Linked DNA regions of Oryza sativa Japonica Group. The protein of the gene in region 4 binds, or shares a complex with, the protein of the main gene of each other region. Links are inferred from orthologs where the notes say so. Each region holds a gene or a part of one and is shown on either strand. Other genes may lie near its edges. The genes, in order: mitotic spindle checkpoint protein MAD1, mitotic spindle checkpoint protein MAD2, mitotic spindle checkpoint protein BUBR1 and mitotic checkpoint serine/threonine-protein kinase BUB1.

Evidence for each region.
Region 1: mitotic checkpoint serine/threonine-protein kinase BUB1 (region 4) and mitotic spindle checkpoint protein MAD1 share a complex: the UniProt entries of both Arabidopsis thaliana proteins name them as parts of the mitotic checkpoint complex. The link is inferred for Oryza sativa Japonica Group from reciprocal best matches to the Arabidopsis thaliana genes AT2G20635 and MAD1.
Region 2: mitotic checkpoint serine/threonine-protein kinase BUB1 (region 4) and mitotic spindle checkpoint protein MAD2 share a complex: the UniProt entries of both Arabidopsis thaliana proteins name them as parts of the mitotic checkpoint complex. The link is inferred for Oryza sativa Japonica Group from reciprocal best matches to the Arabidopsis thaliana genes AT2G20635 and MAD2.
Region 3: mitotic checkpoint serine/threonine-protein kinase BUB1 (region 4) and mitotic spindle checkpoint protein BUBR1 share a complex: the UniProt entries of both Arabidopsis thaliana proteins name them as parts of the mitotic checkpoint complex. The link is inferred for Oryza sativa Japonica Group from reciprocal best matches to the Arabidopsis thaliana genes AT2G20635 and BUBR1.

What each region holds. Positions count from the first base shown.
Region 1 is NC_089035.1:38,697,444-38,701,006, reverse strand, and holds part of mitotic spindle checkpoint protein MAD1, read right to left. Parts: intron 3,534-3,563; coding exon 3,286-3,533; intron 3,167-3,285; coding exon 2,995-3,166; intron 2,764-2,994; coding exon 2,677-2,763; intron 2,588-2,676; coding exon 2,384-2,587; intron 1,756-2,383; coding exon 1,593-1,755; intron 1,332-1,592; coding exon 1,244-1,331; intron 1,161-1,243; coding exon 1,091-1,160; intron 605-1,090; coding exon 476-604; intron 398-475; coding exon 359-397; intron 1-358. UniProt on the Arabidopsis thaliana protein: Required for the execution of the mitotic checkpoint which monitors the process of kinetochore-spindle attachment and delays the onset of anaphase when this process is not complete.
Region 2 is NC_089038.1:24,797,631-24,801,379, forward strand, and holds mitotic spindle checkpoint protein MAD2, read right to left. Parts: upstream 2,295-3,749; 5' UTR 2,074-2,294; coding exon 2,001-2,073; intron 1,890-2,000; coding exon 1,874-1,889; intron 1,714-1,873; coding exon 1,583-1,713; intron 1,465-1,582; coding exon 1,240-1,464; intron 1,111-1,239; coding exon 989-1,110; intron 900-988; coding exon 843-899; 3' UTR 536-842; downstream 1-535. UniProt on the Arabidopsis thaliana protein: Required for the execution of the mitotic checkpoint which monitors the process of kinetochore-spindle attachment and delays the onset of anaphase when this process is not complete.
Region 3 is NC_089036.1:5,218,508-5,222,708, reverse strand, and holds the start of mitotic spindle checkpoint protein BUBR1, read right to left. Parts: upstream 2,849-4,201; 5' UTR 2,767-2,848; coding exon 2,522-2,766; intron 2,390-2,521; coding exon 2,330-2,389; intron 2,186-2,329; coding exon 2,041-2,185; intron 1,931-2,040; coding exon 1,773-1,930; intron 1,090-1,772; coding exon 1,008-1,089; intron 926-1,007; coding exon 859-925; intron 778-858; coding exon 732-777; intron 639-731; coding exon 473-638; intron 351-472; coding exon 265-350; intron 164-264; coding exon 83-163; intron 1-82. Other genes in the region: uncharacterized protein, read right to left, coding at 3,619-4,059. UniProt on the Arabidopsis thaliana protein: Essential component of the mitotic checkpoint. Required for normal mitosis progression. The mitotic checkpoint delays anaphase until all chromosomes are properly attached to the mitotic spindle.
Region 4 is NC_089041.1:19,550,949-19,555,037, reverse strand, and holds the start of mitotic checkpoint serine/threonine-protein kinase BUB1, read right to left. Parts: upstream 2,847-4,089; 5' UTR 2,684-2,846; coding exon 2,538-2,683; intron 1,736-2,537; coding exon 1,576-1,735; intron 1,489-1,575; coding exon 1,331-1,488; intron 1,221-1,330; coding exon 1,127-1,220; intron 1-1,126. UniProt on the Arabidopsis thaliana protein: Serine/threonine-protein kinase that performs 2 crucial functions during mitosis: it is essential for spindle-assembly checkpoint signaling and for correct chromosome alignment. Has a key role in the assembly of checkpoint proteins at the kinetochore.

The DNA.
Region 1 (3,563 bases), on a different chromosome or scaffold from region 4:
GAAAATGTGTACAGCATTCTCATTAGAAACATCTTGGTTGCTGGTTCCTGAGCACCCCAAGAGATATGCCTTAAATGAAATGTGATGTGTTAAGTAAATGTACACCTATCTAGCCACTGGGATTTATCTATTGCATCCTAACGCAATTCACTAAGACACCAACCAGACTATTCATTTGTGCAGCATACAACCTAGATGCAAAACTAGAGGACATAAATAAATAGTCATATTAGACAAGAATAAATAACGATGTTTCCACACTTTCCTCCTATACACATCTGTAACATTACTTTTTAGTTATTTCATCCATGCATCAGAAAAAAGAAATACAGTCAAATGCAACCAATACGCTGAATACCTGCTGAGCAATTTCATGTTGAGAAGTGTAGTCATTGACCTGTATATACATTAATAACATCAAATAATGCCCTGTTAAATTATAGGAATGATAATTTCAGCAAGGTAATAATCCTACCACAATATTGGTGCTTCCAGATTCGTAGTCAAACTCAAGCTTCTCATCATCACTTTGGGCGTAAACAGAATGCAGAATAAAACGTGTTACAGGGATCCCATTTGACTGTTGCTGATCATTCATCACTATCTAAAACCATAAAATTGAAAAGGTTACGTCAAATAGTATTGACATCAAACATAAAGGCATGAGAAAAAATCAAACGAAATGTTGAAGCTAGAAAATGATGAGCACGGTTATCTGAAATAGGCATGACCAATGCAACAATCGAAGGCAATCAAAATTTTCAAACCAAAAGACAGCATGATTGAGAAGTATCAAACTAACCATGTCCACACTCCACAACACAAATACTGATGTACTCTTTCATCCTTAGCTTCAAACACCAGGATCGAGAGTCAATTTTAATTTGGGTTCAAGAGGTTCACATTGGATGAAATCCCAAAACACTGACTTGGCATACTAATGCATACAGATTCACTATGTAAGATTCGCAAGATGCTAACATGAATCCCTCATCTCTAAAAAAAAAGAGGTGGAGAATGCACAAATAGCAGTAATAGATAGATAGGGTTGATCCACTGTGTAATATGGGTTGTGTCATATTAATAATACCTTATAACCAAAGAGCGAGCAGCAAGCCTTTCGGAAAACTGAGATCCTCTCTGCAAATACTGCCTTATATCTGTTTCAAACAAACTGTAAGGTCATTTTCTAACAAATCAGTATGAACAGAAGCTTATAACATACAGATAACAAAGTGGGTACCTTTCTTCACGTTTCTCTAGGGTTGCAATTTGATTTTTAAGCTGTGCTAGCTTTTCAGCAATATTCACATCAACCACAGTTCCAACATCTGCAGTAAAATAAATATTCTATTTAAAGTTTGATGAAGCGTTGAAGATCTGAGGATTCTCACATCTTGCTAGACTATGGAGCAATGACTAGAAAAAAAAGAGTTATCAGATATTGTTGAATAATTAAAAAAACTGAGTAGGTGACAACTGATTAATGAATGCTACAGCCTACAATCCTTTAGGTAGTAACTCTATCACACGGTTCCAACAAAAAATGTGGACACTGTCACAAGGACGAAAAGATGAATAAAACCACTCACCAGCTTGTCCTTTTAGTTCTTCAACTGCTTGTAGCCTCTCTTTCGTTTTCTTCAATTCAGCTTGCAATGCCTCTATAGTCTGCTTTGCTTCATTGTCCACTGCAAGAGTATTTACCATACGCAGTACTTTTGTGCTAGAGGCAGAGTAATCTCCATGGCCCAGCTGTCAAACATAACAAGAACATTCAAGGTACAAACATGGTTTTAATCAACAGCTAAGTTAGTATTGTTTACAGTGGCATTTCTGACAACTGTGAAAAACAACTCTATTGAAAAAAGAAGATTCATTCACTTGAGACTCCAACAATATATCACTGCACCAGCAGCAAACGGTAACTCTCAACATACAACAAACACAACAGAAATTAAGCACAAAAACATTCAGCCAAGCTTCATTTGAAGCTGAAAAAAAATAATGGTCCCAATCATGCTTTCTCACAGAAGCAGGAGAAGCATCCCTGTCCAGTACCTCACAGCCTCACACCAGCTCATGAGAGAAGATAGATAGACATGCTACCTTACTAAAAGGAATAAAGCTTCATTTCTCAGTACACTCTATAAATGGAGCCAAATTCTTGATAGTTTGCTTACAAATAAACAAATAAATAAAGGTTGCCCGGACTGGAACAATTAATCCAAACTTATGATGTTCCAGACAGATATAAGCAATATGAAGAAAATGGGACCATGATAAACATGAGATGTAAGGGTGCCTTTTCGAAATGAAACTACTCTAAACAACAGAATGAGCATATGTAGATACCATTTCAATAGTTCATCTTAACCCTTACCTTTGACTCAAGTAAAGCCACCTGTGAGCGTAGTTGATCTCCATCTCGCTCCAATGATTTTGCTTTTCTTGATTCAATGCTCAATTTTTCATTCATCAAATTGAGCTCAGTGTGCTGTTGACTAATTAGTTCTCTCTGGTCACGTATAGTGCTCTCCAGTTCTGTTACTACCTTTTCCATTCGAGATAGATCCGATTCCATATTCTGGATTGTCACCTCACAAGAAATATTGTGCATTCCATTAAGAATGATAAAGGCACAAAACTGTCAATTTTATTAAAAAAATCACAAACCTTGGATGATGCATCATCTCCATCCCTAGATTTCGACACAGCATGGTCCTTTCTTAATCTATCCCTTTCTTCACTGATGGCAGCAAGCTGTTCAGAAAACAAACAGCAAATGGAATGACAGCATGAAATCATGGGGTATGAAAGAACAAGTTATCAATGTAATTACAGAATGTACAGAGGAAGAGTTATCGTTGCATGAACAGATTATGAACTTGCTATGGTGCCACAAGTGGATCTACAGAATTGCATTGCACTGAGGGGGGGAGTAGAAACTAGCATCACAGTAGTAATTATAAAAATAGCAATAAACAACAGTACCAGAAGTTCAAGCCGCTTGATCTCCCTAGTAGCACTTTCAGCCCTCTCTTTGGCAAGGGTTGCTTCACCTTCTGCCCGTTGCTTGCTAAGATCAGCAAATTCCAATGCAACCTTTAATTCTTTCAACTGTGATGTTACCTCACCAACTTTATTTAAATTTGTCAATGCTTGCCTGTTAAAAATCAAAATAACCATATAAACCTTACATAAAGAAAGAAAGAAGCACAGATAATTGATAGCGCTCGCCTATAGCAGACAAATGAAATTGAAATTGTAACAATGGACACGCACTTCTGCAAATCTGCGATCTTTTGAGGTATATCACCAAAAGAAGATACATCAGGTATGTTGCTGAGCAATGCTGTGCATGATGCTAATTCAAGCTCCAACTTCTGTGCTTTAGCTTCAATTTCCTGCAGCTTAGATAATTCCATTTCTGCTCTCTCCCTGCACCCCTGTTCCTCCAATATTTTTTCTTTAAGTAACTCAACATTTGTGTGGGAAGACTTCAACCTTCTAGCTTCATCAACTTCTTTTTCCTAAATGCACAGAACCATACAGGTAAAAAT
Region 2 (3,749 bases), on a different chromosome or scaffold from region 4:
CCTGTTAGTTGCTGCCAACAGGTCCTGGGGTTCCTCTGGTTTATATGTAAATGTAAATGTAGCTCTGTAGCATCTTGGTGTTAGTTAGTTTCCAATGTGTTTGTTACCCATGCTGATACTGGGTTTTACATTTGTCACAAATAGTCTTGGAAGCTGGAAACAAATACATTCATCAGAAGTGTAATTTGTCCGGACAACGAAGGTTGTCTGGCAAAATGTAAGATTTCTGATGGATTGTTGCAAACAGCCTTGGAAGTTCCGAAGCTGGAATAAATTCATTCAGCAGAAGTGCATTTTGTCTTGAGATTGAAGATGGTACAAAATTACTTCTAATTTAATATGCAAGTTTTGACAAGAAAAACGGTGGTCGATATAACATAAACTTTGAGGATACGGCTGTCTTGAGATTGAAGATGGTACAGAATTACTTTTAATTTAAGTGCATTTTGTTATTCACAGAGCATATGACTTCAAAACACCTTGAATCTTTTGAGATTCTGAAGTGAGAAACAACACATATAATTGAACAACACAGTGAAGAAATCGTGGCACACGATCACGATGCATTCAACTCCAGTGGTACTTTCAACCCAGGATTTCAAAGGCTGAGGAAAAAAAAATCATGGTGAAGCAGCGATACACAGTCGATTCTCCCAAAATGCGGTAAAGAACAAGAAAAGGGATTCTCCCAGAGCACACGAGTTCCGATAGGGCTAGGGCGTGAATGAACGAACGATTCACACAAGCATCACGCCTAGCAAGCTAAGCTAGCTAAATAAGCTAGCAGCAATAAACTAGCAAGGGGGTCTCCTCCTCATGGCTCCAACCTCCACCGGCGGCTTCTACTCCTCGTCCCACTCGTCGACCTTGTAGGAGACGAGCGTGTCCACCTTGTGAATCTGCCATGGCAAGAACACGGCGCTGTAACGTCAGCAATCTGGGAGAGGCAGCGAAAAAAAAGAAACGGAGTCGATTCAGTGATATTCACCTTGGTGTCGAAGGAATGCAGCTTCACCATCTGTGGATTCTCGATGAGCTTGGCGTCGCTCTCCACCCAGGTGAAGGGCACCGCGACGTCCATGTCGGTGTACGCCAGCACGTCGAATATGCCTGCAAAATCAATCAATCAATCAATCAATCAATCGACGAATGCGGATGAGCTGGGAGGAATTGGGGGGGAGAGCAGAGGCGATGAACACTGAACACTGAAGAAGTAGAGGTGGTGGTAATGGCGCTTACATGGCTCGTCGAGGCAGGGGAGGTAGGTGATGCAGGAGGCGACCTGGCGCATGATGGCCTGGATCTCCCTCATGATCTCCTTGTCGCTCTTCTCCTTGATGACACCCTTGTCGACCACCTCCGGGTCGGTCTGGATGCTGAAGTTCCACCGCTCCAGCACCTCGGAGGTGGCCTTGCTCATGATCACCAGCACGATCCTCTGCAGCTTCCCGGCCTCCAGCCACTCTGCGCGCGGCAACGCAGGAAACACAGGCAAGATCAATCAGCAGCAGCAAAAGAAAAAGAAAAAAGAAACCAAATGGAGACAGGCAGGCTAGTGATCCGGTGAGTGAGGCCAGACGACCTGAGAGCTGGGTGTTGAGGTTGGCGATGAAGGTCTTCACCCCTTCGTCCTGCGTCAGCAGCATCGTGAGGCCGTACTTCTTCACCTTGGTGAAGCTCTCCTCCGGGTACACCCCGCGGTTGTACAGGATGCTGCGCCACGCACAAACCAAGAACACAAAACACCCCGGATCAGAAATTAACCCTGAATCTGCAGCAACCGTTTTTTATATTTTTTTTCTTTCAAAGGAAACCAGCATCAGCGCAGCGGCGGCCGTCGATCCTGGCACCCGCAACCGCGCGAAGCGCGCACCTGTTCGCGGCGTAGCCTGCCACACGAGAAAAGGCATTCGATCAAACACCTATCGGGCGCGCGCACGCGTGAGAGGAGCCGAGGGCGAAAAAAAATAAAAGAAACGGAAGCGGAGATCGGCTTCTACCGAAGAACTCGCTGACGATGGCGGCGGAGCCCCGCAGCGTGATGATGTCCTTGGACGCCGTCCTCGACGCCATCTCCTGATCCGCCTCACCTTCTTAACTCCTCCTCTTGCCTCCCGTGCGGCGGCGGCGGCGGCGGCGGATGGGGGGAGAGGAAAGAGGAAAGGGGGGGAAAAGCCGGGCAAAGGCAACGGCTAGTGTGGAGCGGATCGGCTGCGGGCTGCGGCGCTTGGGAACTTGGGAGCGTTGTTTGTCGATGGGTCGTGTTGGGTCAGGTGCGGGGGAGAGAAGGTGTCGGCGTGCGGGTGGGTTTCGGGAGTTTTTAAAGGTGGGCCGGACCTGCGCTCCCAACGGTCGTGTGGGCGGTGGGCCAGTGGGCTTCGGTTGGCGCGATTCGCCCAAGCCGCGCGCTCTCTTCGAGTCCTTTACCTCTTGTTGATGATGAATTGTACTGGTACCAGTAGACTACTAGTAGAACCGTAGAAACACCATTTTCTTGGAGAAAATGCTCCTGGGTGGCTGGGTTTTTGAACTTGTTCGGACGGTTGGCCTTTAGGGCAGTCCCAACCCATAACACTAGACATAGTTTTCATAAACTCTACATCATCAAGAAATTAGTACTAGACACTACTCTTTCAATATAAACACCACTATTCCATACTTCAATTTAATGCAATTTATCTTACATGATATTTTGTGTAGAAACCATATCTCATGCAAGACATGGTTTCCTTCTCTTTCCTCATTTATTTACTTGCCACATCATTTTTTATCCTAGGTGGCAACTTATATAATGTTATGGACATCATCCTAGACATTGGGTTGGGAATACCCTTAGAAACGGAGGGAAGGTATTTGCCCTTTGCCGCCAACAACCCCTATTTGCCCTCATATTCGTCCGTTTAGCACAGTTATAACTTACCAAACAATTTTGGTTTCACCAAAAAAAATAGAGTAAAGCTGGTTAGAGTGTTCTCGCAAAATGAGCGTCTTACCAAACGAGACATCTGTTTCTTACTGTTTTTCTGGGCTTATTCGGCCGAATTGTAAATCGAAAAGTTTATTCTTCACCAGACTAAAAAAATACGCTTATTCATTATATTATCAGAGCATATCATTTGATTCACGGTTTGGAAAATTATGTTTTGAAAATACAAAAACTTATACTGTAGTCCTTCCATCACGGCACAACAACTTTTTTCCATGTCTTGTAATATAAGGTGTGTGTGCATGCATGCACATTAACTATCACCTCTTAGTCCTTTAAATTTGGTTTGTTTTAAACCATCTACCATCAAGCCCCCAATCACACTGCTTGCCTGTACGGATGTGATCTAACCGATGCGATAATCAAATTATTTCTCGGTCTTTTGCGTTAGAAGTGATTTAGCCTAACACCCATTTTGGCATGTAGGGAGTATTACTTAGACCACTCATTTTAGACATATTTTATCTTAAAATATTAAATTAACCACTATAATCGGTTATATAATGGCGATAATAATATACTCAATAATCTAAATATAGTTTTTAATATATTTGTGAACTATGTGATTCTATACTAAAAACTACCCCTATGCCTTAAAAGCCACTGACTAGCACTGACATTCTGTTTGCCTTTTGTTTGAAAGTTAATTTGGATGTATTTAAAATTCAAGTAGGATTATATTGTTTCGGTAGAGATTATTTTTCAAGAGAAAGTTTCCTTTGATTTTTTTTGGTGCAACCTTTTTTCTTTACAAAGGGAACTT
Region 3 (4,201 bases), on a different chromosome or scaffold from region 4:
AAAAAAAAGCAAGTGTACATTAAAAAAAAATGAGAAAGGAACAGAACCTCTGGAAACATAATATAAGCTGAACTATTCTTACTGCTTGAGGTTTCTGCTTGTTGCTTGCCTAAGCTTCAGAATAGATGGTTTTGTACTCTTTGGCACTTGGGGAACTGGTTCCCTGAAATAATCAAAGGAAGGTATATAAAAATTATACGTTTTTACAGTTACTCTTTTTAAAGAACTATTCAAAACTGTTAACTTAAGGGCACAGTAGCATACTCGGCGCATTCGTCATCTACGAAGACTTCAATGGAGCTTACACGAGTCGGCTGAACTGCTGCCCTCGATCCAACCTTCTGAGGAATCTGTTGTTCAGTGCAATACTATCATCAGTTCATTGATCATTACTGAACCGATAAACCTCGAGACATGTCGCAAAAAGGGACCTTTTGAAGAATTCTAGTGGCTTAGGGGAGAAAAAAAAAACCTTGTGTGATGTCCATTTAGCAGGCCTCATGTTATTTTCTTTGTTCCGATCTGCTTGTGATCCAAGGGTCTGCCAGGCCGTGTTGTTGCTCCTGGTTCTAGCAAGGCCATGACTAGGTAACGAATTCTCATCTGTGTAAACTGCAAGTGGCCTATTGACATCAACTCTGCAAATTTGCAACAGTATCAACACCAGTAAAAAAATTCCAGGTTCATCTAGATTTCTTTATACTGATTGCATGCGTATAACAAGTAATAACCTTTGCAGAGTTTTCACCAGGTGAGAGTTTTCTGCATGCTGGCCTCCTGCCACATCAAAATGCAACATTAGTTCACCCAGCCAGGCACTTGAAATTGATGTTAATCATACCATCACAGCAAACTTACTGATTTCACCACGGTTCAAGACAGTCCCAAAGTTGCGTACTGGATGATCATCAGTAGTTGTGTCATCCTGTTTCAACAGATAATAGAATTCATTCAGTGGGCAGTGGAATATAGATTAAAAATAGGGTACTAAATCAGCCTATGTACACCTCAGGATGTGCCTTCTTTTTGGATGATCTCTGAAGAAATGCCCTGTATGTAGTTTCCAACTTCTCCACAGGCTTTGCTTTCCTGACCAAAAAAAAAAAAGCCAAAGAATTTTACGGTTTAATATGCACCATTCCATCAAACAAAATTCATAAATAGTATGCTTTAGGTATTAAGGTGTAGGTAGAGCAGAAAATTGAGAAATTATATCATATCCCTCCAACAAAAAATAGAGAAGTCAGGAATACATGTTTTAATCTAGAACAGTTCATAAGCTTACTCCACAATCAGTTTAATGCATTTTAGTTATAATACATAGAGCTAAAATGGTGAGTGGGAATATGGAAGACTATACACCTTGCAGTCAAACAAATGCATAAATCGTATGCTTTAGGTATTAAGGTATAGGTAGAGTGGCAAGAAAAGTCATATCCCTCCAAAAACAAATAGAGAAGGTAAAAGTTTTCAGCTACAACGGTTCATAAGCTTACTCCAAATTAGTTTAATGCATTTTAGTTACTATAATTCATAGAACTAAAACAGTAAATGGGGATATGTAAGACTATATGTTTGTTGACTAAAAATCCGAAGAAAACAGACTTCAAATCTAGAACAGGAATTCTTTGTCAAAGGCTATATGGAAATTTAGAAGGAACTTATCTATTATCACTAAAAAATAATCTACTAGCAGACTAGCACTGAAGAAAATCCGCAACCTTTCTCATATCTGAAGAAACTAAACTACCAATCCCCCATAAAATTCTCACCTGGCAATACCAAGGTTAAAAATCTCATTAGCTTTCTTTAGCTTGTTCTTGGACTCCATTACCGACGCATAGGACAAGTAGTAATTGGTATGGCTCTGACCAATCTGGTTGGCCTCCAGGAACCTGAATATCACCTCGGAATCAGCACAATTCCCCGCCTGCATACAGATTAAGATCAAGCCAAACTGGATGTCAAAAGGAAACCAAACCAATCCAATCCAATCCAACCAATCCACCTCAGAACCAATCCTGAATTCATGAAACTCACATATTCCAGCCACACTTTGAGGTAGCGGAGATCGTTCTTGTAGCGGTCGTCGTGCCAGAAGGCACGCACGCACTGCTCGTAGATCACCACCAACCCGGAGCAATCCCCGCCTGTCGGAAACGACTCCTGAACCCATTTGATGCAGCTGCGTGTGGATTAAGCAGACAAAGGCATGCCATGAGCAGCAAGCTTGCGGAAACCGCAGAGAAATCGCCGACATGGCAAATCTTTCGGCTCAACCTACTACTACTAGTATACGAATCAATGAAACAAAGGGGAAATTGCTTACTCTATCCATGGTTGGAGCGGATCCTCGCCGCTGTATTCGTCGATTGCCTCGATCATTTTCCTGAATCAGTAGATCAATCAAACGTAGGACGAAAAAAAAAAGATTACCAGAGACCCGCCCCCAAATCAAGAAATCCAGAGCAAACCAAACCCAAGAACCGAGAGACGCGGGTGACGGGAGCGGCGGCGGTACCTCCGGGCGGCGAGGAGGGCGGCGCGCTGGGCGGGGTCGGCGTGCGCCTTGAGGGCGCGGTTGAGGAGGCCCACGTTGCGGCCGCGCTTCAGCGGCCGCACGTTCTCCTTGAACGTCTCCCACTCCGCGCACGGCGCAGCCGGCGGGGCGTCGCCGCACCCCATCAGCATCAGAGTCTCCTTGTCGAGCGCCACCACCGCCTCTTCCGCCGCCGCCGCCGCCGTCGTCGCCATCGCCGCCGCCATGTGTTCGTCCGGGCGCCGCTCCGGAGCCGACCGTTTGGGAGGAGAGATATTCAAATTGGAAGAGATTTTTGACCGTTGAGCTGAGGCGGATGCTGCTGCTGCTCGGGTTTATATAAGGTGAAAAAGAATTGGGCTTTTCATGAGTTGGGCTTGGAAAGTTTATGTGGGCCTAAAATTGTTGGATCTTGATTGCGTCAGCACTCACACGGCAGAGTCACTATGAAGAAATTCAGTCTCAGCCCTGTTCAGCTTGTCAGCTAATTAGCCGATAAATTCATAGATTAATTCAATATACTGTAGATTATGAAGTTAATTAATTATTTGGTTAGAAAAGGTTATCGAAACAATGCTATTGTAGAAAGATTTTTGAGAAATCATACTGTTAAAATTGTGGCCCGTCAATTCGCCGTGATGAATGAGTTTTGTTTTTTTTATGTTAATGCTGGAGTATATGTGTTTGTGCAAACATTACGCAGAAGTTTGTGATGATCAGTTGATCTTCACATGAACAGATTTAGTTTCTTAAATCACATGAAACACAAATTGTTCAGCTTTTTTCCCCAAGACCAGTTGCGTAGTTCTTAAAAGCATAACTCAAACTTGAGGCAAAGGCGCAAAGCTTCATGCTTGCTGAACTTTCTGTTTTGCCACGATTAAATTTCAGTTAAACTGATAGCACTCTTTCATATTGCACAAAAAGAACTCCAAACAAGTGCTCTAAATGTTCAAACTTCCATAATAAACGATATAATATGTCTTTGCTCTTCCATTACAATTGGTTACATATCTAGCAGGAAGCAGTAACAGGTAACTTAATTGGACTATGAACAGGCAACGAACACGCATAGAATCTCACAGCCTTCTCGGTGGCTGCATCTGTGAAGGATCCACAAGGCCTTCCAACACAACAAGCTGATCCAGCAGCGCAAACTTTTCATCCTCGAGAACGCTGGCTTCCTCTTCAGCCTGGCTCAATTGCTTGTCCAGCTCACCGTTCTCATCCTCCAGCAGCAGGTACTTCTTCCGTAACGCTCTGTATTCATCAGCTGGACCGAACTCTGGCACCGAATCGGGGGTTCCCCAATCAGATTGCGGAGCCGAATGGCGAGGTTCATTCTTGAAGGTTATCTTAGGGGCTTTCTTGGTCTTGCCGGATGTGAGTGGAACCTCCCTCCGCAGCAGCTCAGGTTCAGCTTTTATTTGGCTGGGAGGCAAGGGGCGGGAAACGACCTTTCTCTTGTGCGTCTTCGGGGTTGCGAATTCATCTCGTGGCATACCTCTTGGGTCTTGCATTCCCTCCGGTCACTCCTCCCTGAACAATGCAACTCAAGTGAGAAATTTTACTAAAGCATAATCATAAACATATAATTCATTCTCAAAACAATATAGCAGGCAATTCAATAGGATAGATCAGCACTTAGCACTATGTGGAATA
Region 4 (4,089 bases):
CACAAAGAAGAATAGCATTAGGCGACTATAATATATGCTGGCTACAATAATGGCCAGTAATGACAAGTAAAAGAAACAAAAAAAGGTTTTTGCATAAGTTACTTCACAAGCTTAACAGGGTTATATAGATATTGTTCTTCGAAAACATATAGAAATTGCATGTCTCATGTTTCTTTATCTAGTAATGATTAGTCCACTCAAGCAGGGGCAGGGATGTAGCTTTCAATGGCACATCATGTGGCTTCAGCCCGATATTTCATTTTATTCTTTGCTTTTGCAATTTGCTCGATTTTCTCTATTTATTTATGAATTGAACCGTATAAGAAGATTGTTTGGTATGGCACTGTTATGCTGATAGTGCCCTATATTTATGTTCTGACTTCACTATGGTAAAGCTGTGCAAATGCACTCCCGATTCTATCAATGTACCACATAGCATAAATAATATATTTCCGAGACAAACTCATAATAGAACACATACACCACAAGAATCAGTGGAAAGTACAACCTGAAATTCATTCCCAACTATGATTAAACTAAATAAAATATATCCCTAAACATATAATAAAAAAAGCCACTCTAAATAACTAGAATCATGCTATTTTTGTATAAATAGAGTTGCAGGAATGACAGAACAGAAACTCTTTCCATGAAAATGTAAAATAAACCGTCATGTATTTAGTTGAAATAGATGTTATAGATGTTCGAGCTAGTAAAGATCGGCAAGTACAAAGTAGATATCATTGTGATTAGCCCCAAATAAATATTAAGTTCACAACATGCAAACATGCAAATAAATGAATAAATTATGTAGAATGTATCACAGTTCACATGCACAGAAATGTGAAGACAATTATCCTATTGCTTGCCAACCTTTTTTGGAAAAACAAATGTTCCACCACAGAGAAATATCATGTAAGAAACAATATCAAAGCAGTTCTTAGTTCTTACTGCTGCAAGTTTGTCAGCCTTGTGACCAACTGACCATAGCTAAAATACTAACAAATCTACAACACAGCCACAATGTCCTGATTACTAAAAATGCAATTGAATATGAAATATGTGAATCATTTGACAAATATTCAAGGACTCAACTAATGTCCATTCCACCACACAGTTATCATACCTGGGCATCGGCATCTGCTTCTTCTACAATCTTCTCCAAGTGTTTTAAAAATATCGTATGCATCTTCTTCAAATGATCAAGTGGCTCGGCTTTTCTGGTCCACGGAAATGATTTGCGATCACATCAACATGACAAATTTGACATCAGATTGTTGCTGCCCAAAAAGTTCACTTCAACAAAAACATAATTCAGTGTCATACTAACCTGGAAATACCAACTTCATACACCTTACCAGCCTCCAGCACTTTCCCCTTACTGAAGAGAAACAGTGCATATGCATCATAGAGCAGTGCATGCTCTAAAAACATTCTTTTCTCCTCCAACTGCTTATATGCCTTATCAAAATCACCTATTGCATCCGCCTAACATAGAACAAAGTGGGGGGGAAATGAGCAAAAGGATAGAAAATGGATAAGGTAAGAATTGAAACTTCAAAGCCAAACAATTACATAGAGGATCCAGATCTTGAGGAGTCGGGGGTCTGTGGAGTACTGGTAATCGTCACCATACTTATCAATGCATTCCATTACACAAATCTTGAGCCGATCAAGCGCTGCTGCTTCAAATTTTGGGCCTGTCCTGAGCTCATCCATAGCCTTGTTGATAGACCTGAATACCAAGTCAGAAACTAACATAAACGAATGCATACACCAGGACTGGGGCCCTGACCAGGACAAACAAACCGCAGTGATACATAGATAAATTATGCATGAATACCAGCATGTGCATGAAAGATTAGATTTACCTTATAAAATAGATATAATAGTACCAGGAACATAAAAATAAGTTATATATGCAAAGTTTTTACCAAAAGGACCTATCAGAAAGCAGCACATTAGTACAGAAGGAGCACAGAAAGTGGGCACATTACATTACTTGACAGTTCAAGAACTGATAAAGGAATAAGAGAACCGTCTCCACATGAACAAGCTAATCCTTCACAAGAAAAATCAACCTAGCTGCACAAAACAAATCAGCTCCAAAACTAAATCCTTCCCAAGTCCCAACACTGGACATTACGAGTGACCAGTCACAATGTCTCGGCAAAATGCACTTCTGTCGTTGCCAGACACTCAAACAGTGGTGGTCATACCCTTTGCTTTTCTTTTTTTTTTTTCGGAACACACACGCCCCCATTTCTCACATTTCCGTTCGTCCAAGTTCAACTGCACACTGCCACTGAGCAATTGAACAGGAATCGCAGAGGCGAAGTGTCAAAATCTAAATCACACGCCCAATTAACTACATAACTCAGAGGAAGGGACAGAATCCCAGTACGATGCGTACGCCACACAACTTGAGGCGAAACCAAGCATTATTCCACGCAGCGCTACGGCGGAATCCCACGCCCCCAAATAGGACCTAAATCGAAGGGAACAGGTGCTGATATGGATACTGATCTAGCCATTACCTGAGGTAGGGGAGGATGGGATCGAGGGGGGGCGGGGGCACCTCCCTCAGAACCCTAGGCGACGGCCTCCGGAGCGGGCTGGAGGCGGCGGCGGCTGCTGCTGCTGCCTCGGGCACCACCAACGGCGTGCGTTCGAGCAGAACCATCTCCCGTGGCCGCCGGAAGAAGCCCTCAGAATCCTGCGGCGATCGCCGGCGGCGAGCTCTCCGCTCCCGTGTTGGGGGGTGGTGGATGCGTGCGCTGTCTGTGTGGAGAGAGAAAGACGGGAAGGAGATGGAGCGGAAGAGGGGAATAATTTGAATTTCGAATGGTTTGGGATGCGGATCGCTTGGGCTTGTGTAGCCATTTTTGAGGTTTAAGCCCACTTATTACTACAGCTGTTTAGTGTTTACAACTGGTTGAAGATATAAAATGGACCAATATAATTTTTGGGATTTTTTTTCGTGCACATAGCGAGCAAAAACCGAGCAGCACAGCTGAACAAGCGCACAGCACAATCAGATCGGTGAGAGAGAGAAGAGTTGTGGAGGATGGATAAACATGCAATTTTATGGCCCCAAATGTAAGGCCGAGTTTATTTCTAAAATTTTTCTTCAAACTTTCAACTTTTTCATCACATCAAAATTTTCATACATACACAAATTTTCAACTTTTCTATCACATCGTTCCAGTTTCAACCAAACTTCTAATTTTGGCACGAACTAAACACACATTGTGTTCGTTTCTCCCCTCTCTCAACTTTTAATTATTCTTTTTTTCACACACAGGTTTTTAACTGCTAAACGATATATTATTTGTGAAAATAATTATAGAAAAATTACTTGGAAAATTATATTGATTTATTTTTAAAAATTTTAATATACTTAATTAGTCATGTGTTGAGTGACCGTCAGAACAAACTCAGCCTAACGTTGTGTTCGGTATGGTAGGTTAGTAACTAATCCTTCGGTATGTAACATGGAGGATTACATTAGCATATGATTAATTAAGTATTAGCTTAAAAAACTTATAAAATAGATTAATATGATTTTTAAAACAACTTTTCTATAGAAAAATTTTGTAAAAAAAATCATCGGTTTGGGAAGCATATGTGCGAAAAACGAGTGGTAGAAGTTGGGAAAGGGAAGGAAAGAACACAATTTAAGTATCTTTCTTATCGTATAATGTACTAGCCAAATATTTATATGTTGTAACGGATTATTCAAAATAGAAAACATATCTCGTGCATCCTCGTTGAAAAAAAAATATTAGCTTCAACTTGGTAAAAACAAGACTTGATCTTAAAAGGCAAAAAAAAAAGGCATTGCTAGATTTTTTTTTCAGATGTTATATGATTATAAAGTATGTACTTGTTACTAAATTATGTTGTCTATCTCATTTTAAACTAAAAGAAACTAAATAGTTTGTGAGTTTTTTTAATCATGATGGCAAGAAGCAAATTAATGGAAAAATAAAGGACTATCTTGCAGCAAGAGCAGTTAAACACTATTAATACACACCTACTCCCTCCGTCCTAAAATGGGTTAATTGGATCCATATCATCGTAAATATA